4 linked regions of the Drosophila melanogaster genome follow. The gene in region 4 interacts genetically with the main gene of each other region. Each region holds a gene or a part of one and is shown on either strand. Other genes may lie near its edges. The genes, in order: spn-E, mei-W68, Brca2 and spn-D.

Region 1 (7,843 bases), about 11 Mb from region 4:
CAATTAAGTTTTACTCGCAGCGTGGTCCTAATTTGCAGTATCACTGCCAACGTGTCACAATTAATTAAATTCATTAACCACTAAATAAATTATTTGAATTTGTAAGCCTTTCTGTTTTAATTAATTTATGTAAATTCTTTTTACAAAATTAACGTGGATAAAACTGCAAGTAACTTTCATAAATAATATCTGTTTCTAATAACTGACCAGCAAATGGAAGTTATTGCCTATAATTTGTGTAATCAAAATCGGAATAGTAAAGTATTAACTAAGTTTCATTTATTTGTAGTCGCTCCGTCATTGGAAAAAATGCTTTCTATTGGCCTGTTAATTAAATAAACTTTGTCATCTGTCGAATACAACGTGGAACTCTTTGAATATAAATAATTTATATTTATTAGGCCAGTTGAGTAATTAAAAAAAATACAACTGACTTTCGCTTAAGACGAAGCCACAGCAACGATCTTTAATTGGAAAATCGTTCTAAACAAGGAATTCTAGGGGTACAAGCAACTTTAACGATAGAGATGGTCGGCCTGCAAGTTAGAGGCAATCTCGGACTCCCACTTGTCGCCGTTGCAGAGAAGCTTCTCCTTGTTGTACAGCAGCTCCTCGTGCGTCTCCGTGGAGAACTCGAAGTTGGGTCCCTCGACGATGGCGTCCACGGGACAGGCTTCCTACGCGGGGGGACAAAAAGATGCAATTAGTTTCTAGTAAATTGTGGCGCCACTTTGCTCCTCCTCACCTGACAGAATCCGCAGTAGATGCACTTGGTCATGTCGATATCGTAGCGTGTGGTACGTCTGCTGCCATCCGCGCGCTCCTCCGCTTCGATGGTGATCGCCTGTGCGGGGCAAATAGCCTCGCATAGCTTGCAAGCGATGCAGCGCTCCTCTCCACTGGGATAACGACGAAGGGCATGTTCTCCGCGGAATCGCGGGCTCAGTGGTCCCTTTTCAAAGGGATAGTTGATAGTGGCCGGTTCCTTGAAGATGTGCGCCAGGGTGACGGCAAATCCACGTAAGAGTTCACCGAAGAACATGGTGGATGCAGCACGGTCCGTGATGTCGGCAAACTCCATGCTCAGTTCCTTGTTGTTTACATACACATAGCCCTTGGGAACCTCGACGATATCTTTGGGTTCTGCTCGCTGGGCGGCCAGCAGCCGGGCTCCATGGCTGCCAAACAGGCGCTGTCCTGTGGGGAGAACATTTTACCATTAAATAACATGCTTAAGTCGAAAAGTTATACTGAATTAAGCGAGTTTAGACTTTTGTTTTGGTATGACATAAGCTTACATAACCTCACTCGCCGCGATTTCCACGAAAATGGGAAATTTCCCGGAAAACAACGGATGTGAGGGGATGGGTCGCCACCTACCGTTGCGCGATGCGGTGAAAATTCGCATAGTTAGCGACATTTTTGCGACCAAATTAAACTAAAATTGCCAAAGAAGTTGTTTTGCTATTGAATTTGCCCGAACAAATTAGAGCTGGGTTTCTTTCGATTACCCACATAAATTCAATGCTCAAATATCGTATTCAAATATATCGTAGTTTCTTAATGACATAAACCAAAAATAAAATATGAGATATAAAATATAAATAATGTAACAAAGAATTAAATATTCGTGTAAAAATAATAAATAATATTAACAAATAATCCAGAAAGACTGTGAGAAAAAAAAGAAAACATTTTTTTTATACGAATACCCCTAATAAAAACCTTAAAGCTTCGATAATGGCACTATCGATATAAATTCGCACTTTTACACTTTTCAACATTGACTTTGAAAATCCCCACCACTACAATTTACAGTTTAACTTTTCCCGCTACGCGGAATTGTGAAATTTTTCATTGTTTATGTCGGAAAATGGATCAGGAGGTTATGGATTTCTTTGACTTCTCGAAGGAGTTGAAGCGCGTGGCCGCCGCCCCGCAAGGCTACATCAGCAGCGATCCGAGGCTAATGGCCACGAAGTTCAAATCATCCGAAGTGCCCAACCGCGAGTTGATCGGCACCGACTATGTCAGCAAAATCGTCGCCAAGGAAAAGTGTCTCCTGAACGGGGTGAGAACTGGAAGCTTGCGTCAGCACTTCTGTTTGTTTATGTGTAATTCGATCCAGACGCTGCTCAACGAACAGCCTCAAGGCAAACGCATTCGAACGCTGGACGATTTGGACACCGACGATGAGGGGGAAGAGACCGAAATTCGCCGGGATGACGAGTACTACAAGAAGTTCAGATTCAATCTGAATCGCGACAAGAACTTGTCCATCTACGCCAAGCGCGAGGAAATATTGGCGGCCATCAATGCTCATCCGGTAGTCATTATTAAGGGCGAAACAGGATGTGGCAAGACCACGCAGGTGAGCAAAACTTAAATAAAATCCTAACTTTTTTATTAAGTCTATATTTTAATAAAGCCAACGCAAGCGAATTATAATTAAACCTTTTATCCTCGACTTTTGAAATTCAAATCCAAACTAGTCGAGAGTATTTAATATTATATAATAAATAATAATCTTCAATATACTTTTCAACTCTTTATATAAGAATAGCAAAGCCTAGGAAACTTATATCCTATATAGTTATATATCCTATCCTACATACTTAAATACAATGAATATTTTATGTGCAACAGATAAACAAGATCACATCGCGCAAAAATGCTAGTTATTTAATTATGTAAAAGTTTTATAAACTAACTCAAGTATCCAAAATAGCTTTGAGTTCTTCTTCCGTGACCTCCTCGCTTTCACCCACTTCCATTTCCTCGTCGTCACTAAACTCAATCATCTCATACTCTTGCTGCACGTCTGCTGGAAGTTCCCTCTGAAAAACGGTGGCCGAGGACATGCGGCGTTGATAAGTCTCGTTGACCTCCAGCTGCACTTCTAGTTCATCCGCCTGGTTTTGCGGCTCCCGTTCCTCGACGCCGTACATGGCCTTGTTCCGCACCCTCTGGCGCACTTCCAACTGGTTGCCTGTAGATGTTGTGGTACAATTCTCATCTGGAGTACTCTTTCTAGCTCCTAGAACACTTTGGATATCGGCAAAGACTTCTCGCAAATGGCCGAATATTTGAGAGGGCGGCAAAGCGTGCTCATGACCAGCCGCCAATTGCTTCTTTTGGGCATTGTATGCCGCTTCCAGTTCACACAATGGCTGGCTTGCCTGGTCCAGTGCTCGCAGACCCTCCAGTTCGTATGTGAGACTGACGCCGTTCGCACGCTGTTGCTTCTGCATCAAGGCACTCTGCCTCTGTTCCTTGGCACCCGCTACGGTCTCCACACGGTCGTAGTCCACCAGATTGTCCAACCCCTGGCAATAGTCGAGCGCGGTGAAGCGGAAGGCCTGCTCCTGGGTCAGGCGCCACAGCATGTAGGCGATCTGATGAGTGTCCTTCCGCTCCGGACTATCCTTGCGCAGATCTAGAGCGTAGTCTGTTAGTTCTTGCCAAGTGCGCGGTGAGACCTCGATCTTAATAAAGTTGTGCGTGGGCTGCTTGTAGTAGATTACGTAGAGCAGAAAGAAACCTCCGATCCTTTGAGCGCGAGATGCCGGGAAAACGTCCCCGGTGGTGCGTCGGGAGCACGACAGTCGCTTGGCCACATGCAGGGCCGCCAGTGTGGTGGCTATCACCTCTGTGTGGTTCGTCTGGGCAGTGAAGAGGTGCTGCAGCTGCAGTTCTCGCCAGCACCGGCAGAACACCTCGAACTCGCAGTTTTCGCCATCATTAACCAATCGCTGAAATCGTTGCACCAGCTCCCAGCAGTCGTCAAAGATATTCAGCTCCATTCTGAATCTTAATTACGCGAAATATATGCGCATCTCTCATTCAAAAGAGCCTCAAAATATAAACAATAACATTCGCCGGGAATAAGCTTTTACAACACTAGCCGGGGAGTTCATCGATAAATATGTAGTGTTCATAACTGCTTAGCTATTTTCAAAAAAAAAGCGCAAAACTATAAAAACTGTTTGAAAAATGTGTAAAAAATACAATTACATTTTTGTTCTGCTTTGTAAATATTTAGATATTTTCTTATAATTATTATTAGTATTCAATCAATTATTCTTACAGGTGCCCCAATACATTTTGGATGAGGCCTATAAAAGCGGTAAATACTGCAACATTGTGGTGACACAACCCCGGCGCATAGCTGCCATCTCCATAGCGAATAGAGTTTGCCAGGAGCGCGAGTGGCAGCAGAACACGGTGTGCAGCTTCCAGGTGGGCCTGCACCGCCCGAACTCTTTGGAGGACACTCGTCTGTTGTACTGCACCACCGGGGTGCTGCTGAACAATTTGATTAACAACAAGACGTTGACCCACTACACCCACATTGTGCTGGACGAGGTGCATGAAAGAGACCAGAACATGGATTTTCTTCTGATCGTGGTGCGTCGCTTGCTGGCCACGAACTCGCGGCATGTAAAGATTATCCTGATGTCGGCCACCATCGATGCCAAGGAACTGTCCGACTACTTTACCACCACTAACTCAATTCCGCCAGTGATCACCACCAATCATCGACGTAAGCACTCGATCGAGAAGTTCTACCGTGACCAGCTCGGCAGCATTATTTGGAATGAGGAAGATGTGGGACACCAGCAGGTGCCAGAAATCAACAAACACGGTTACAGGGCAGCGGTAAAGATCATAGTGATTATTGACAACATGGAACGGAAGGCTGCAATCCAGTCGCGGCAGAGCTATGACGAGGCCCTGCGCTATGGAGCTGTGCTCATCTTTCTGCCAGGCATCTACGAAATCGACACGATGGCAGAAAATCTTACTTGTATGCTGGAAAACGAGTAAGCATTGTTATCCGTGAGAATTGCTCACTGTACAAATTTTGAAGTAGCTAAAATTGTATCATTATAATTTCCAATCTTTATTGTTTAATTGCAGCCCCAACATTAAGGTCTCTATTGTTCGCTGTTTTTCGTTAATGACACCGGAAAACCAACGGGATGTCTTCAATCCCCCGCCTCCCGGTTTCCGCAAGATCATTCTGACCACAAACATTGCTGAGAGCTCCATCACGGTGCCAGATGTCTCATACGTTATTGACTTTTGTCTTGCCAAAGTAAAGGTAACCGATACGGCTAGCAGCTTCTCTTCGCTCCGCTTAACCTGGGCGTCCAAAGCCAATTGTCGTCAGCGTGCCGGCCGCGTTGGTCGTCTTCGTAGTGGACGCGTTTACCGTATGGTTAATAAACACTTCTATCAGAGGGAAATGCCCGAGTTTGGAATACCAGAAATGTTGCGCTTGCCCTTGCAAAACTCGGTGCTCAAGGCCAAAGTGCTGAATATGGGATCACCGGTGGAAATCTTGGCATTGGCTCTATCTCCGCCGAATCTGTCGGACATACACAATACAATATTGCTTCTGAAAGAGGTGGGTGCTCTGTACTTAACAGTAGACGGCATCTACGACCCGTTGGATGGCGATCTTACCTACTGGGGCACAATCATGTCTCGGCTGCCGTTGGACACACGTCAGTCCCGGCTTATCATATTGGGTTATATTTTTAACATGCTCGAAGAAGCTATTATTATAGGTAAGCGGGCAACAGTAGTTAAGCTTTAGGATAACGGGGGGAATATTCTTTGTCTTGCATTAATGATTTTTTTTTTAAATATGTTGTAGCTGCTGGCTTATCGACGCCTGGCTTGTTTGCGCACGAAGGTGGTAGGTCTCAATTAGGCGATTCATTTTGGATGCACTATATCTTCTCCGATGGATCTGGCTCCGACTTGGTGGCCATTTGGCGCGTGTATCTGGTAAGTTATGCGATGCATTACTAATAGCGTAATAACTTGTTTCTTCGGCAGACATATTTGAACATTGTGGAAAATGGTCACGACCAGGAGTCTGCTATCCGTTGGGCCAAACGTTTCCACGTCTCCTTGCGGTCACTTAAGGAGATACACTTGTTGGTGCAGGAACTGCGTGTGCGATGCACGCATCTCGGTCTGATTCCGTTTCCTGTTAATCCTAACCAAATGATGGACGATCGTGAAAAAGCGATCATGCTCAAAGTGATCATTGCAGGTGCCTTCTACCCAAACTACTTTACGCGTTCCAAAGAGTCGTGTGCAGACACAGATCGCAATATATACCAGACAATATCGGGCCACGATCCCTGCCGCACCGTATATTTTACCAATTTTAAGCCTGCCTACATGGGCGAGTTGTACACTAGGCGCATTAAGGAGCTATTTCAGGAGGTCAGGATTCCGCCGGAAAACATGGACGTTACTTTTCAAGAGGGTTCGCAAAAGGTCTTTGTCACTTTCAAACAGGATGACTGGATTGAAGGTTCATCTAAGTATGTTCCTGTGTCGGGCAGAGTTCAAAGTGAGGTGTACAAGGCAGTTATGATGCGACAAAATCGTGTCGAACGGCCAATCCACATAATGAAGTGAGTTATCAAGGCTTTTACTATCGATTATGAAGCTTATGTTTAATCATTTACAGTCCGAGTGCATTTATGAGCTACGTACAGCAGCGAGGGATTGGAGATGTGATTGAGGGCCGTTGGATTCCACCCACAAAGCCTTTAAACGTCGAGCTTCTTGCGCTGCCATCTGTCTTTGACAAAACTATTTCAGGGTCGATTACTTGCGTAAGCTGCTGCACCACACAAATCTAGAGAATTTCAAAGTATTTTTTTTATTTTTCCTATCTTACAGATCGTCAACTGTGGCAAGTTCTTTTTTCAACCCCAATCTTTTGAAGAGTGCATTCGAAATATGTCTGAAATTTTCAATGCTCCACAGCAACTAAGAAATTACGTAACTAACGCGAGTGCCATCGCAAAGGGCATGATGGTGTTGGCCAAACGCGATAGTTATTTCCAGCGCGCCACAGTGATCCGGCCAGAGAATCAGAGCAATCGCCAACCAATGTTCTACGTTCGCTTCATCGACTATGGTAATTGCACTTTGCTGCCCATGCAGCTAATGCGTTTGATGCCGAGAGAGCTAACTGAACAGTACGGCGACCTTCCGCCACGTGTTTTTGAGTGCAGGCTGGCAATGGTTCAGCCCTCTTCAGTGGTCAGTGGAAACAATAGGTGGTCCACCGCGGCTAATGATATGCTCAAGACAGTGGCCCAATGCGGTCTAATCGATATTGAGGTGTATTCGCTTTTCAATAATGTAGCAGCTGTTCTCATTCATATGAGAGATGGCATAATCAACGATAAGCTAGTAGAGCTTATGTTGTGCCGTCGATCCGACGAAGATTATATGTCTAGAAAAGATCATGATTTCCGTTTGCGACGTCAAGAATCTGCCCGGAACTTGAGCACGGCGCAGCGTCAACAGATCAATGAGGAATATCTGCGATCCTGTCAGCTGCCGCAAGACCACGATCTACCACCGCCTCCGCTGGAAAAGTGCAAGACCGTTGTAATGTTGAAAGGACCCAACAGTCCTTTGGAATGTACTATGCGATCCATTACTCGTGTGGGCTTAAGTAAACGGGTGAATATAGACCATTTGTCCGTTAATGCACTTCTCCTGGATGCTGATCCTCAAGATCACCACGATCATTTGATAGTGGCCCACGAAATCGCGGAGAGTAGAAACGGGCAGACACTGACAGCCCGTGGAACCACCCTGATGCCCAATGTGCAGGGATTCGGTGCTCTAATGGTTATGCTATTTAGTCCCACTATGCAACTTAAATGCAATAAAGAAGGCACATCATATGTCTCTGTTCTGGGAGGATTGGGTTGTGACCCGGACACAAACGAGCCCTACTTCGCAGAGCATGACGTGTTGATTAATCTGGATGTCAACATTCTCGAAGATGATGTGATTT
Region 2 (5,400 bases), on a different chromosome or scaffold from region 4:
CCATGAGACCATTAGAGTCCCAATGGTATCGCCATGGACAAAGTAACCTGGCCCAAGGCAATACTTTCACTAGATCCACGCAAAATCTTTTGATGCCATCGCGTTTGCCGTCCATAAACAGGAACGTCGGCGGAGCTGATGTAAGCGCCTGGGTGGCGGCCAATCAAAGTGTGAACCAAGATCTATGCACTGCCAATCTAATGAGACATTACGAAGAGAAACAGCAGAATCAACTTTCCCGCACTTCGTCACAATCTTCTGGATTTGAGTCGCAGCCACGTCCAGAAGCCCAATGCGGAACAGGTGCTGCAACTGTAAGGGACTACGGCTGGTCCGAAGCCCGTGAGAGTCAGCGAAATTTCGCAGTTTTTCCGCCAATGCCGTCACCTACACCCACAATAACGCCTAGTGAATATCAATACTCGAGGACTGCTCTTCCGCAGCAACAGCCAACTATGCAGCCGGGGGATTTACTTAGGAAGTGGATTGAGATTAACTCAAAATCCTCACAGCCAATACACTAATGTGATGTGAGGTCATAAATATCTAGAAAAACTTAGAAAAAATTCTGGAAAAGATCACCGCCAGTTGGGAAATTATATAAATTTGACTTAACTTAATTATCAAATAATTTATTTTTGACTTACAGTTTTTAAGCTTCTTTATTCTACTAAAGGTTAGTCCTCCCTTTACTTATAATCGACTAAATAAGTAGTGTTTAGCTAGACATTCTTTAATCTGTGTAGCTCTAAGTTTCGTGGTTTTCAATATAGAACTTTTCAGGGAATTGAAAGTCAGGGAGTAAGATTAGAAGGTAATATAAATACTACTTGATTTTAAAGGGAGAATAAAGCTTTGGTAACTAAGTTATTTATTCATTGAAGACAATCATTCAAAGTTTGTTTTTATCGTTAACTAAACTTTTGTGACTCACATAAACTAGATAAATTGTTTATTATACAAATACATATTTTTTGAAATAAAAGCAAAACAAAAAAATGGTTATTATTTTGTTAAGTTAAGTGCAGTTATAAGAAAATATTCATTATCAAGTTAAATTCAATAATAACAGTGACCTGTCTTTTTGGTTGTTTTTCTCTTTTAAAAAATGTTATATTGTTCTCTTAGATTTCAGAACACGCTCTCTTAGTGCAGTGCTGCCAGTTGGTTAACGGCGCGGTGTAGAAATCAAAGTGGCCGTTTCCAAAGTCGGCACGGCACTTCAAAAATTCATACATTTGCCCCTGAAAGTATGTTGTTTATGTTGTTGTTAATATTGAACAAATATATTATGAATTTAAATTATCTTAATAAACAATTATGTATATAAGGTTGTGTAGCCTCTAACCATTCTCGAATGTAAAATTTAGCTGGTTATTTCAAATTACACATTAATCAATCAGTCTGTGGGCGCGGTTTTTAGATGACAGCTTGCTGTATATTTAGTATATAAGTAGTAACAGGAGAAAAAGTTTAGTATTTTTGAATACCGTCCAGCTGGCAACACTGCTACAATATGGCTGCCGTATCGTAATGTGAATTTTTTTGAGAGACCGAGACGTACATACTTTTGTTGCTGCCAAAGTGGATGTGGACGGAGGAAAATAGTAATATTTAACTGCGTTGCGGGAGCGGGACAATCGTCGTTTGCCAATTGCGGCCACCGCTTATGTCGGCTAATCGGCTATCAATAATATTAGTAATCGTATCAATATCAAGTTACCCATTACCCATCGCGGATACACATTAGTTTTGCGAAGGGCAGAGCAGCGCAGAGCATATAGCGAATATTTCCATTTGTTGCCAACAAGACTGTCGTTGTTGTTGTTATTATTGTGGCTTTTCAGTGACTGGGGAGAGCAGTGGGGGTGCGTTCGTAATCCTTGTGAAAAATCGGTGACCGTTCTTCTTAAAAAAAAAGCGAAAGAAAAAACCATCGCGATAAGAAAATATAAGAAAGAAAAATCTGATTGAAAACCAAAGAGCTGCTGCTACTGCTGCTGTGCGAGTGAGAGCGGTCGAGAGGTAGCTAGTGAGCGAGTGAGAAAGCTATGTATTGCATTTGCATTTCGTTGTGTGTGTCGTCGTTTTCGTTCGGTAAAAGTCGGTAAAAAGCAGAGCCTTTCCAAACCTAACCACTTTCGGGTAAACGGAATCGGAAAAGGAACTGGGAAAATCGAAAGAAATTAAATAATAATATGCGTTACATCGATGGCAACAACAACAACAACAGCAGCGACCATCAGCTAGCGACTCCTCTCTGAGCGAGAGAGCTAATAGCTTTTCAGCTTTAGCTTTTCTTGGGCCAATCGGAAATTGTATTTCATTGGTAAGTACAAGAAGTGGCAGCACCATAACCAGCAAATCAATACTTGGGCTGCCATTCCGTTTCGTTCCGTTCGTCAGTTTTCCTAGCCCATTCGTTGGCGCTCTCTCTTTTCCGTCAGTCTCTCTCTTTCTCTTCCCCAAAAGAGAGCGAAAACCCCCCGCCCGCCCACACTCGGTGTATGTGTGCTTTGTAATAACGAGTACACTTTTCTGCACATACGAAAAAGAAGGAAAAAAGAATAATAAAATAAGAAGAAAAAATGAAAGACCGAATAAAGAAATTCACATAAACTTATGGCACTCTCCCTCGCGCTCTCTTCATTTGCAACTAGTGTGCGTGCTTAAATTTTTAAAAAACAGTTGTTTTCACCGAAAGGGAATTTTCATTTCGATGGTATATTTTTAGCCAGCAAGCTCCTTTCGGAAATTATTTATAACCCCCCTCGAAATGTTTCCACGCAACGATTTACGCGATAAACTTTTACAAAATCAGATATAAGTAAGTGCAAAGACCACTTGATTTTCGTATAGTATGTAAGTCCACGAATTGCTTACGTATTTATGAAATATTACTGTGCGTAGGTCGGTGGGCGTGTTTCAACGTTTTAGCCCACAGTTTTCACTCATTTTCCTGCGGGGTTTCCGCTTGTGACAAAGGCATTCAAAGAACCAACAAGAAAATCCCGGGGGCGTGGCACCACCCATGCAATTAAATTAGACCAAAAAAGTGCTTACACTTTGTATTCTAGAGAATGTTTCAAATCATTGAACATAAACAGAAGAATTCATGCGAATTTAGAACTAATGGAAATTGGGAGCAAGGATACATAAAGTTGGAGGAATTCAAAAATGTAATTGTTTAAAATTTAAGCGTTAGTAACCAAGTTCTTGTTAAAATATATGCCGCTTAATTAAGTTTAAATCTGTTATTCACAAGTAAAATTATATTTATTATTAATTTCTCTTAATTTGGATATTAAAAAACCTCATTTTGTAGATTGCAAGAGTACGAAATCAAGAAGACGTACATATTTGTTGTTAAGAATCCGTTCCTAATATAAGTAAATTGCTAGAACAATGGATGAATTTTCGGAGAATATAGAAAGAATTGCCCTCGAGTTGCTGAGCAACTTGGTTCATGGCAATGCCACTCTTAGTGTTCCCCGAAATTCATCCGGAAACGTGATCTCGGAATATCGACGAGTCAGCTATAATAATCGCGGAAGTCGCCATAGCTTTTGCGTGCTGATTTACATGCTCTCCCGGGTGCACCGATTGCAAGTCCGCGGAGGAAGTTTCACCGTCCGTGGACTATACTATGACAATCCTCTGCTAGTCCGGTCGCAGTCCAGGATTGCCGAAGCCAGGCTAGATGTCTGTCGTATGCTGAGGACATCCCCCCTAAGCTTGGGCATACTGGCCGCCTCCAAGGGCCTGGTGGCAGGTGAGTTTATCTCGAAATCCTGATCAAAGGCTCCCTGCTCATCCGGTTACTCTTGCAGGCGACTTAAGGCTGCTGATGACCAACGGAGACGTTCTGGACAGCAGCTTGTATGGTGGACCTCTGACATTGCCCACGGATCCCGAGAAGATAGATCGAATCGAAACGCTGGCGGAATTTGTGCTAATCGTTGAAAAGGAGTCGGTTTTTGAGAGTCTCTTATCCAGAAATGTATTTGGTACTTTTGAACGACGCTTCATCCTTATAACTGGAAAAGGATACCCCGATTGCTGTACCCGGAGGATTGTCCATCGGCTCACCGAGGAGAACCAACTGGCGGCCTACATTCTCGTTGACGCCGATCCATTTGGCGTCGAGATAATGCTAGTCTATCGCCATGGCTCGAAGTCCATGAGTTTTTCCAGCCAAGGACTAACCACACCTGCGCTGCGTTGGATTGGTCTACACCCCTCGGAGATTCCCGCACTCGGCACTGGAGCGGTTGCCCTGGTTGCCGGCGACAACAAGAAAATCAATGACCTCCTCGCCCGCCACGATTTGGAGCCGGGAGTGCGGCAGGAACTGCGCATGCTGCAGGACGTTCAGCTGAAGGCCGAAATCGAGAGTGTCATCGACTTCCTGACCGACGACTATATACCAAATAAAATCAATCGGAACTTGTTTTTGTAGAGTTCAGTGGTAAACCCCATAAGCCAAATATTATTACTCTTGAAATATTATTAGTTAGTTTAAAATATGTTGTAGGTATAGTAATATAGTAATTAGTTTGTAAAAAACGTATCTCTATAAAGATACCATAAGACTCCTAAAAATAGTACTGTAAAAGTTAGTTCGCGTAATCAGCTTTCCATTAATATTTGAATTAATTAAGATAGTAATTTAATAATTAAATTCCCCATTCATTGGGATTCCGATTTTGTTGCTTATGTTATAAAATGTAATGTTTAATTTCAATGCAGCTTTAATAACGTCAATATAATATTACGACTAATTAATATTAAAGTACCTTAAGATCCTTGCCTTTAGAAAACATAATTTTAATATTTGGATAACGGATAATAGTAATTTACACTCGTAATGTCTGAGTAATCTGCTTCTAGTGTTTCGTATTGAGTGGTCAACTTGATTTTCTGCATTACTTTGTGTGGACGAAGCCAGTAAACTCAAGCAGACAAAGGAGATTATTTTTTTTATTGTGCCTCTAAAGTGTTATGGCTTGAGGTCGGTAATCGGAGCCGGTAATTGGCTACGTTTTTGATAATGGCAAGTGAATGGCCAGTCATATTATAGGTGCCGAAAGATACAAGTAGTCTGCTTTGTTTAGATCCATACTAATTGCGTGCATTTATTTCTTGCAGATGTGAAGGAGTACCACGGATGATAGAAACCCATTGGGCATTTGACTACTTTTAAGCACCGAAACCTGAAAGACTCCCGAAAATACTCGAATCTCACGTGCAGAATCTCTAAGAATCCCTATTGGACTGTTTAAAAATATGTCGACAGCAATGCGCACCACACTGCAGTCAGTTCCTGAGGCCCTGCCAGCGGATAGCGTGTCCAATGGCACAGCATCCAATGTAGCAGCACCGGCGGCGCCAGTATCGAGC
Region 3 (5,888 bases), on a different chromosome or scaffold from region 4:
CGAGGAGTACAACACTCTGGAGGATCTGGCCAGGGCTCCCTACCCCAGTCTGCACGACGAGTACTACAGAAGTCAGATGAAGGCGAAAACCTTCCTGCCCGAACGGCTCCGCAGGAACAGCTTGAGCTTGAACGCCACCCTGCTAAAGGCGTACCGGGATGGGCTCAATCAGAGCTACATATACATATTGTACGAGGACCGCCTGGAGCTGATCCTGATGCAGCAGTACCTGCTGAAGACGCCGCGCTTCAACATGATTCGCCAGGCCGTGGGTTTTACCCTCGAATCCTACTGCGTGTCCAACAGTCTGCCGTACTTGGCGATGACCAGTGAGTTCATGAGGCGCCTGCAGGAGCACGGGATCAGCATCAAAATGAAGGCGGACACTTTCCGGGAGCTCATCCATCAGGGAATCTATACCTTGATGCGCGATGATGAGCCGCCGGCTAAGGCATTCGACCTGGACTACTACTTTTTCGCATTTGTTTTGTGAACTGTGGGACTGATTTCGTCTCTTCTCGTTTTTTTCGCGGAACTCGTAAGTGGGCACCTTTAAGGAAGTTGGTTAGCGGGTGGCCCTTATCGGATCGTTTATTTCCTTATAAGGTGCACTTAACAAAAAACGCTTATTATGATAACTTATACAATTATTCAATCTGTCATGATGAGACCACTAATGGCATACCTTAATTAATTCAACTAAATCTCTACCCATTTCAAATCGGCCAGCGGTTTAAATATTTTGGGTATAAAGCAACGCTTACTTAATGTGTACTAATAGCGACTTCGACTCAGACCAAGTCTTCGACTCTTTTTGGGTTGCATGCAAATAGGGGACATGTCCTCCGCATCCTGTCTATTCTTTGTACAGTCCTTGGAGCGATTTAAGTCCCTGTCGGCCAGCGGAGTACTTGTCGAGGAAGGCTTGGGAGCGAATCGCTCCATAGTGGGTAAGGCGCAGGAAGTGGAAGTTTCAGTTGACAAAATGATCTTTCGCTTTCTTTTTAGTGACAGGAGGTTCCGGCGAGCTATTACGGACTTCTTGGTGGCCTGGTCCAGTGGTGATTTGCCGGCAAGTTGCGATAGTGAGGAGTGGATCTCCTGCGACCTTCTGGGTGTCCTCACCAATGGCTGGCTACACAGCGGATGCTCTTCCTTTGCAGAATGCTCCACGAAGAAGTCGTGTTTGAAATGCTCAATATCTGAGGTATTTTTTAGACTTTGTACATTGCAAAAAGTTGGCTTGTTGGCACTGTCTTCTGCCGCCGCTTCATCTACGAACTTGGCATCAATATTTCTCGATTCCTCAGAGATCACAGTTGGTTGGTTCGAGTCAGTGCTTGCATCGGCGGCTTGAAATTCACTCATGAACTGTGCAACTTTGATTTTCGTATTTTCCGAAATCACAATTCCTTTATTTGAAGCGGTACGAAAGCCGAAGAATTCGGTCTCAGATACGGTTTTAGTATTCACAGCCTTATTATTTTCAACATTTATTGAATGAATCTCATTGTTTGGAGAGGTGGGTAGAACATCAGGAAAATCGCTTGGCTGCCACCCGTTTAATTGGTCTGTAGCTTTAGACTGGGCCAGAAACATGGCTCCTCTCTTCTCCATCGCCTCGGTAATCTCAATGGCTTTGTTTGACGCTGTTCTAAAGCCGAAAAACTGTGATTCATTTAAGTCACGGCAAACTGGGTCAAGTGTGGGTTGATGCGGTTCCCGCATTGTAGTATCAACGACCACCAACTTGGAAGCTTTCGATCGCATTTCCTCTGAACTCTCTATTGATCTTTTTAAGGCTGTATCAAGTCCAACAGACGTCGGTTTGTCATTTGGCTGATGGACTAAATAATCATTTTGTTGAATTGTTTCTTTGGATTGAAACTCAGCCATAAACTCTGCAGTTTTGATTTTCATCTTCTCAGAAATCGGAATTGCCTTATTTGAGGCTGTGCGAAAGCCACAAAACTCGGGCTCTGCTATAGTATCGTTATTGAGAGGACTGAATTTTCCATTTATTTCTCCAACGTCAACTTTAGCTATTGCATTGTAGGTTTCCTTACCATCCAATATTTCGATGGGCTTGCTTGGGGCTGATTTGAATTCCGCACACTGTGTTGATTCCATTACTTGACTATGATTATCGGAGTATTCCTCAGTACGTAAGTTGCACTTGTGACTAAAGTGATATAGGCCGGATACAACTTTGTCTACAAACTCTTCGCCTTTAATTTTCATTTCTTCCGAAACCTCGATAAATTTGAAGGACTTCTTTCGAATGCCATTAAGTTGATGACTGCTTATGGTCTGACTTTTATTAGGAGTCTGCTTTTCTGGTTGCTCCTTGTCGTCCAGATTTATTGAATTGATGTTTTCTTTAGGCCCTTGAATTGCGTTTTTGGAGGTTGATGGGCCATTAGAGCACTGCATTGGTTGCCAATCATTAAAAAGAAACTCCTCAAGAAGCTCGCCGTCGTTCAATAGGTTTTCTTGCTCTGCAGCATTAGGCTGATCCAGAATAGTAGTTCCTTCGTTTTTCGTGTTAATATCACAAGATTGTTTTGAGGCTCCTCTAACCTTTGATGCATTTGAATCTTTGCTACTTTTTTGTTCTTTCTGGGAACTTGGCTCCAACTTTAACTTTTTATCGGGTATATGTTTGATTACATCTTTGGAGATCTCGGGCAGTTCCATCGGAGTTAGCCATTCACTTAGTGGTATGCCTTCTAATATGAAGTTTGTGTTCTCCTCTATGTCAACATTTTTTGCTTGCGTTTGGCCCATCAAAAGTTTCTTATTTTCAGCAATTTCGACATCAGCTTTTTTCAATGTAGAGTCTGCATCAGACCAAACATTACGTTTTCCACTTTCTATAAATAAGGGTTTATATTAATGAACTTCGCAACAACATAAATTGCATATGAATTACCCAATCGGAGGCGCGTAGTGGGAACCGATTGCATGCTATCGCCATAAATAGTGTCTGCCATAGTTCCTGGACCTACGTACATATAAAAGGAGTTACAAATGTGTTTCTTGCCATATCGATCCCACTCCCTACCTTCCTGCTCATGCTCATTTTCATAGAAAGAGGCCTCAAATGTAAATCCGCTCTGCAACAGGTCATCCCTCAAGTTCTCCAATTCAGCGTTGAAACACTCGTCACCAGAATCCTGCCTTGCTTCGGTTGGCAGATCTATTTGCGATGGGACAGGAGTCGGACCGGAAGCTGTCGCGGTCGCGGAAAAGTATTGACTGAGGTTCAAAAGGACCTCGTGTATCTTCTGTGATGAAGCATCGAAATCACAAGCCATAGATGTGAACGAAGTATTGAGATCCCTCTGCACGGAGAGGCCTGAGGAACCTCTACGCTTCTCGTTTTGAACGGCCTTGTGGCTTTTGGGATCCCTCTTCCGGCTGTAGGTTCTGATCCTTTTGTTGCGAAATCGAAACCACGGCTCCGACTCATGGCTGGGCTCATCCTCATCCTCTGCGTATGTTGGAGACGAGCAAAAGTCGCTCATGATCATCTCGACCTGGTCCTCGGGCGTGGGCTCTGCGTAGGACAAAATAAGATCCTCCACGGCGACGAAGTCGCTGTTGTCCACCGCAAGCCGCTCGTGACCCCGAGTCCGTCGAGCGATGGCGAAAGTCTGGCGATCGGCTTCGCATATTTTGGCCATTTCGTCGATAATGTTACTCCGATTTGCCGCCGCGGAAACTGTGGCGCCACGTTCGCGCGCATGGGCTCCTCTTCCTTGGGATAGCCTGTTCGGATGACTTCCCGATGCGCCATTCTGGTCCATCACGTCATCTAATTGTTTAAATGTGTTTTATTTGAAGTAAGCAAGTGTCCAATGCTTTTGTGGTTGCATTTCCAAAACAAGGGGTGCAGTGTTGGTAAGCGTTGCTTTGATGGCCATTATCCGCTAACTGTGGAGGGTGGACTTGCTAAGCAATCGGGAGCGAGAAAGTCATCGATGGTATGGCCAAGAACATGAAGGCCTCACGTATCGATGGCAGATGCATCGATGTTTTTTAACATCACTAATCACTAGTAGCGACAGTTTTTGCATAAAATACAATTAAATAATAAAGGGCCATCGCCGAAGCTGCAAAAACCAGGTTTTACACTGCTGCAATTGCTGAAGAGTCTAGTTTAGGTGCCACTCGAAAACAATACCGGAAAGTGTTACGCGAAAGCCCAGCAGAGCCCCAAAGAATCAGCCCAAAAGTGAAAGCCCCCAGAAAAAGTAAAGTACAAAAGAGCGAAAGGAAGAGCCAGAGAGGTAAAGAAAGAGAGAGCGAAGAGCGTTGAAAAGAGTCTGTGCGAGAGAAAAACGATTTTTTCAACTCCGCGAATCCTTGGTCATATTCCGTGTGCAAATCCTGGTAAGTGGGCATTCCGCTGGATTACGACTAGATTGGCCATAACGCAGATTCCCGACATCCCAGGTAAATCGGGAAGTGAAGTGAAATACTAGGACCAGGACAAGAACGCCGTCAAGATTCTCGGGCCCATCTACAGCGGTATCCAGATCCAGAGCCACGGCCACCAGGACGCAGAATCCACCTACAGCACCTACAGCACTCCACTAGCCGCCACCACGCTCCACAAACAGCCAGCAGCCATTATGTTCGTCAACTCCATGACGTTCCGCGGCAATCCGGCGAACTACCACCAGCAGCAGCCGGCCCTGAACCACCACACGCTGGCAGCGGCGCACCACCAGCAGCAGCTGCACCACCACGCCGCTGCAGCTGGTCACCTGAGCCACGTCGGCGGTGGGCACGCAGCCAGTAACCACCTGGCGGCCGCCGCTGTTCTCGGACGGCATGGCCACAACTCCCTGGGCAGCGGGCACACGTCCACGTCCTCGCACTCGGCCAATGTGGGCGTGGGAGTCGGCGGGGGAGCTCTGGCTAGCGGCTCCACTGGGGGCAGCGGAGGCAACAGCTCTCCGGACAGTGGCAAGATCTATATCAAGAACCTGGAGCGGTCCATCGACAACAAGGCGGTGTACGACACGTTCTCGGTGTTCGGAAACATCCTAAACTGCAATGTGGCCAAAGACGAGGATGGCAATTCACGCGGCTATGGGTTTGTGCATTTCGATTCGGAGGAGGCCGCCCGAGCGGCCATCGAGAAGGTGAATGGGATGCTGTGCAATAATCAGAAGGTGCATGTGGTCAAGTTCATACCACGGCGGGACCGGGAGCAGGAGAAGGCCACGCACTTCAAGAATCTGTATGTGAAGAACCTCAGCGAGGAGTTCACCGAGCAGCATTTGCGCGAGATGTTCGAGCCCTACGGCCGCATCACCAGTCACAAGGTACGTTGTTTGGTCACCTCATCTTCCCTACGGGGATGTTCGTGGGGCCGGGTGGTTGGACGACAACCATGTGGCACAGTTTTGCACTCTCTTAAGTCCTCTCTTGCGCCATTGCTGCGCATGCCCATGTAGCCACGAGGAGTTTGTGACGGCGGGGAAGATGAGGACTCCACCTGGCCCATCTGTGCTAATTTGTTTATATCATCGATTTGCTTTCTCCGATCCTTGCAGCTCATGCTGGACGAGGAGGGGCGCTCCCGGCGTTTCGGTTTCGTCGCCTACGAGAACCCACAGTCGGCGCTGGCCGCCGTAATTGGCCTGCACGGCAAGCAGCTGGGCGACAACAAGTTCTTGTACGTGGCAAGAGCCCTCAGCAAGGCCGAGCGGCAGCAGGAGATCAATCGCAAGCTGGAGGAGCGCAAGCGGCAGAAGGCCGGCCAGATATTCTACTACTAAGGCTTCGGCGGCGGCAGCTGATCCAAGGACATCGCTAGGAGTTGACTTGGAACCCACACACATACAATACACACCCATATATAAACCTATATAGAT
Region 4 (3,485 bases):
GGGACATCTAAGCTTTCATGCCGCCGCCGACATTCAGCTGTACGTTCATGCACCAATCGATGTGCCCTACCAGTTCTCCGAGGGCATGATACGGGAAACGGTGCTGCTGGGCCACTACAAGGAGCTGATCTTGAACGTGATCGAGGTGCACAACGACGAGAGTGTTCAGGACCTAAGCATGGAGCAGCGGCGATGTCGCTATGGCCATGAGCATGTGCCGGAGCGACAGGGAATCTACGACTTCTACAGCTACTCCGGCTGCGTGGTGGAGTGGTAATACTTAATAAAGTTAATATAATTAATTCATAGATTTATGTATAATCCTTAGTACTGTGCTACTTCAACTGGACAACTGCAACTGCACCAGTCACTTTATGGCCATTCCCGGCCAGAATTATCTGCCCGTTTGTGACGTTCGGGGCCTGATCTGCCTGACCCGGATCCGCGACAAGATCATGACGGAGCGCAAGTCCTGCGAGTGCATGAGCTCCTGCGAGGAGCCGGAGTACAACATAATATACAACTCGGCTGATGAGTAAGCACATTAGGATGTTTCATTTGCACAATTTAACATTGAGAGTTGAAATAAGTAAATGGGCTACTTAAAAATGTATCTTTTAACTTTAAGGGATGATGAAGCCTCAGATGAAGTGTCCGAAATCCGCGTGGCCTTGGTTGAACTGCCAACACAACGATACGTTCGTCGCGTAACCAAGACTATACTGGACTTCTTGAGTAAGCTACGCTATCCATATATATAATAGTTTCGAATTCAATTCCGCCTTTTCAGTTTCCCTTGGAGGACTGGTTGGCCTGTTCTTCAACACATCCGCCTTGCGAATAGTGGAGACCATTGTTATCTGTCTGCGGTACAGAAAAACGATTGTGAAGTGGGTTAAGCGGTTTTTTCTTGGCACAGTTCAATATTTACAGATCTTGGACCAGTCGACGTAAATCACAATAATATTATAAGCTTTAAATCATAGTTGTCTTTCTATAGGGAGTATGCACTTGTACGAAGTTGGTAGTAGGAGCTCAGCTCCGTGCGATCTTTTGTGCCACATAGGCTGCGCTATCCGGGGAATTGTGCCAGTTGGGCGGCGTTACAAATTGCATTAGGGTTTGCATGTAGTTGGGAAGATACATGAAGCTGGAGAAGAGCACCAGGAGCAGCATCACCAGAAAGAATCCATCTGATTGAGGGCAGATAATCCGGATTAGCAGTTGGCTTTGTCTCCCAATATCGATACTCACTGATCAGCTTCTTTTCCCAGGGCTCCAGCATGTTCACGCACGTCACCAGTTCGTACTGGCGGTAGGCGTGGCTGGCAAAGTGTTTTAAATTTAACATTTTCAATGACTAAAGTCCAATAAAATCGCGTCGCAGGAAATTAAGTTGTAAACAAAAACCATATGACATTTGGTGTAGCCAGACATTATGAAAATTCAATTGCTTGAAGTCGTATTTCTGTAGCAGCCAGCTCTTAAAAGTTAACTAACACAACACTGCAATGTTAAGTCTTAACAGTACTGTAAAATCATATGGCGCGATTGTTTTGATTATTTGCGATCCCATCTTTTGTTTTTTAAGAGTTTTAAAAAGGATTAAGCAGTCAGGAGTTTACAATGAATCATAGATTTGTTCGGTAGGTTCCATCAAATACAACACTTTTAGAATCCCTATAAACTTTGTGTCTTTCAAGGGTTTGGGAGCCATCGCAACCAGAAGCAATTGAAAGAAGACCATCTGTGTCCCATGAAAACTTTCGAATATTTGATAAATCCTGCTGGGACATTTCCCAAAGTGCCTCAAATAAGATCCTGACGGGCAAGAAAGCCCTGGACACTCACTTTGGAGGTGGAATATCCTTGGGTCACCTGGTTGAACTGATCGGCAATTCGGGCACCGGAAAGACGCAAATGTGGTACTTTATTAACTATTATTTCGTTATTAACTATAATTTACAAATGGTATATGATAGCTTGCAACTTTGCCTAAATGTACAAATTCCCAAGGCAGCTGGTGGATTGGAGGGCAGTGCATTATTTATAGACACCAGGCAGGATTTCCATCCTGACAGATTAATGGGTTAGTAGATGGAATAAACTATTTCTGTGGTATAACTAAACAAAGTTTATTTCTAGGCCTAGCTCTGAAACTGGAAAGGCAGTATGCACATAGAGTTCCAGAATTTAAGGCTCACAAAATGCTGCAGAAAATCCACTATGTGAGGTGCCCGAAACTGGATCAATTAATGGCCACTGTGCTCAGTTGCCACAGGCATCTCGTCGATCATCCCGATGTAATATTACATGTATTTATAATATCCCTTTCTTCGCTAATATAAAATGTTCTCATTGTACTTTGTCCTTTGTGGTGTTACCACAAAAATCCATACTTTTGCCAAACCAATTGAAAGACATTTCTGTAACTTTAAAAACGCAACTGTCTCCTTAGATTAAGCTGATTGTAATCGACTCCCTGGCTTTTACTCTGCGAATGCTTGAGGATGGCGCCCATCGTTACGAGATGCTTCTGGAACTGCATGAAAGCATGCGGAGATTGCAACGTCAACACGAATTGACCGTAAGTCCTCACAATCGATCAATTTCCTTTCCTTTTATAATCCCGTCCACCGGCAGTGGGTCTTCACCAATGTGCTCACGCATCGCTACGTCAAGCAAAAGTTCCAAGTGGAGCCCGCCTTGGGGGATCTGCATTCGCACTTGATCAACGAGCGCATCTGGTTTTCGGGCAGCTCTGAGCTTCACCTGGGCAAGTCGTGGCGAACGAGTAGATTAATTAAGGAATCCGAATGAGGCTACATCACTTTTACTTTGTGTCGAGTTTAAGCATTAGTTAAAAATAGGTACATGCGTATTAGGATTAAATATGCAATTATCAGATGATAATTTTTCTATAAAATAAAAATATGTTTAGCAAGAGATTAGAATCGAAGCATTAGCACAGGAAAGAGGAGCAACAGCAGCATTGGCAAACGGCATCCTCAACCACTTGCCATGATGCGGTGTGGCACAGAAAACGGATTCGCAACTAGCGCACACCCAGCCAGGTGCTGAGCACTTGCTAAAAGCTCTACCGGTCACCTCCACTCCACGAGGAGCCCGATGCCTATCGATGGCGCAGCTCCAGATTGACAGGCGAGCAACGCCTGATTTATGCGCGCGGCGCAGGAATGTGGCAAAGTGTAAAAAGTGTTTACACATACGAACGGCGACACCCAAACCAGACTGCCGATCTCTAGCCCGCGGCCTTTGATTATACACGGGAAAAAAGTAAAGTTTCATTGTATAGATGAATATTCAAATGATTCATTTGGTTATATTTCATGTCATTTATAATGTATATGTTTAACTTTTGCTGTGTACAATGCAATGCGCCACTTTTGGAAAAGTAAATCCAAATACTTGCATACATTATTTTTTTCCAGTGCACTCCGTAAGCGAACATGGAGCTCCGGGCA

Evidence for each region.
Region 1: of spn-D (region 4) and spn-E, changing one enhances a phenotype caused by changing the other (phenotypic enhancement), as found in Drosophila melanogaster (one study listed by BioGRID).
Region 2: of spn-D (region 4) and mei-W68, changing one suppresses a phenotype caused by changing the other (phenotypic suppression), as found in Drosophila melanogaster (one study listed by BioGRID).
Region 3: of spn-D (region 4) and Brca2, changing one suppresses a phenotype caused by changing the other (phenotypic suppression), as found in Drosophila melanogaster (one study listed by BioGRID).

What each region holds. Positions count from the first base shown.
Region 1 is NT_033777.3:15,835,610-15,843,452, forward strand, and holds the start of spn-E (spindle E), read left to right. Parts: upstream 1-1,809; 5' UTR 1,810-1,873; coding exon 1,874-2,071; intron 2,072-2,128; coding exon 2,129-2,371; intron 2,372-2,536; exon of another isoform or gene 2,537-2,711; coding exon of another isoform or gene 2,712-3,803; exon of another isoform or gene 3,804-3,906; intron 3,907-4,089; coding exon 4,090-4,823; intron 4,824-4,920; coding exon 4,921-5,573; intron 5,574-5,662; coding exon 5,663-5,796; intron 5,797-5,847; coding exon 5,848-6,437; intron 6,438-6,493; coding exon 6,494-6,641; intron 6,642-6,708; coding exon 6,709-7,843. Other genes in the region: ND-23 (NADH dehydrogenase (ubiquinone) 23 kDa subunit), read right to left, coding at 516-677, 746-1,197, 1,381-1,420; Pbp45 (PSEA-binding protein 45kD), read right to left, coding at 2,712-3,803. UniProt on the Drosophila melanogaster protein: Probable ATP-binding RNA helicase which plays a central role during spermatogenesis and oogenesis by repressing transposable elements and preventing their mobilization, which is essential for the germline integrity.
Region 2 is NT_033778.4:19,454,647-19,460,046, forward strand, and holds mei-W68 (meiotic W68), read left to right. Parts: upstream 1-1,523; 5' UTR 1,524-2,329; intron 2,330-3,325; 5' UTR 3,326-3,405; coding exon 3,406-3,772; intron 3,773-3,830; coding exon 3,831-4,459; 3' UTR 4,460-4,877; downstream 4,878-5,400. Other genes in the region: CG7744 (uncharacterized protein), read left to right, coding at 1-524. UniProt on the Drosophila melanogaster protein: Required for meiotic recombination. Together with mei-P22, mediates DNA cleavage that forms the double-strand breaks (DSB) that initiate meiotic recombination.
Region 3 is NT_033778.4:24,524,222-24,530,109, reverse strand, and holds Brca2 (BRCA2, DNA repair associated), read right to left. Parts: upstream 3,939-5,888; 5' UTR 3,810-3,938; coding exon 3,065-3,809; intron 3,005-3,064; coding exon 2,933-3,004; intron 2,874-2,932; coding exon 775-2,873; 3' UTR 557-774; downstream 1-556. Other genes in the region: CG4612 (uncharacterized protein), read left to right, coding at 4,638-5,336, 5,568-5,792. UniProt on the Drosophila melanogaster protein: Involved in and required for double-strand break repair by meiotic and mitotic homologous recombination. During meiosis, has a dual role in the repair of meiotic double-stranded breaks and the efficient activation of the meiotic recombination checkpoint.
Region 4 is NT_033777.3:27,164,178-27,167,662, forward strand, and holds spn-D (spindle D), read left to right. Parts: upstream 1-1,538; 5' UTR 1,539-1,626; coding exon 1,627-1,646; intron 1,647-1,703; coding exon 1,704-1,925; intron 1,926-1,982; coding exon 1,983-2,089; intron 2,090-2,145; coding exon 2,146-2,303; intron 2,304-2,458; coding exon 2,459-2,587; intron 2,588-2,643; coding exon 2,644-2,820; 3' UTR 2,821-2,945; downstream 2,946-3,485. Other genes in the region: ppk31 (pickpocket 31), read left to right, coding at 1-273, 329-535, 629-735, 791-954; CG34293 (uncharacterized protein), read right to left, coding at 1,036-1,193, 1,255-1,351.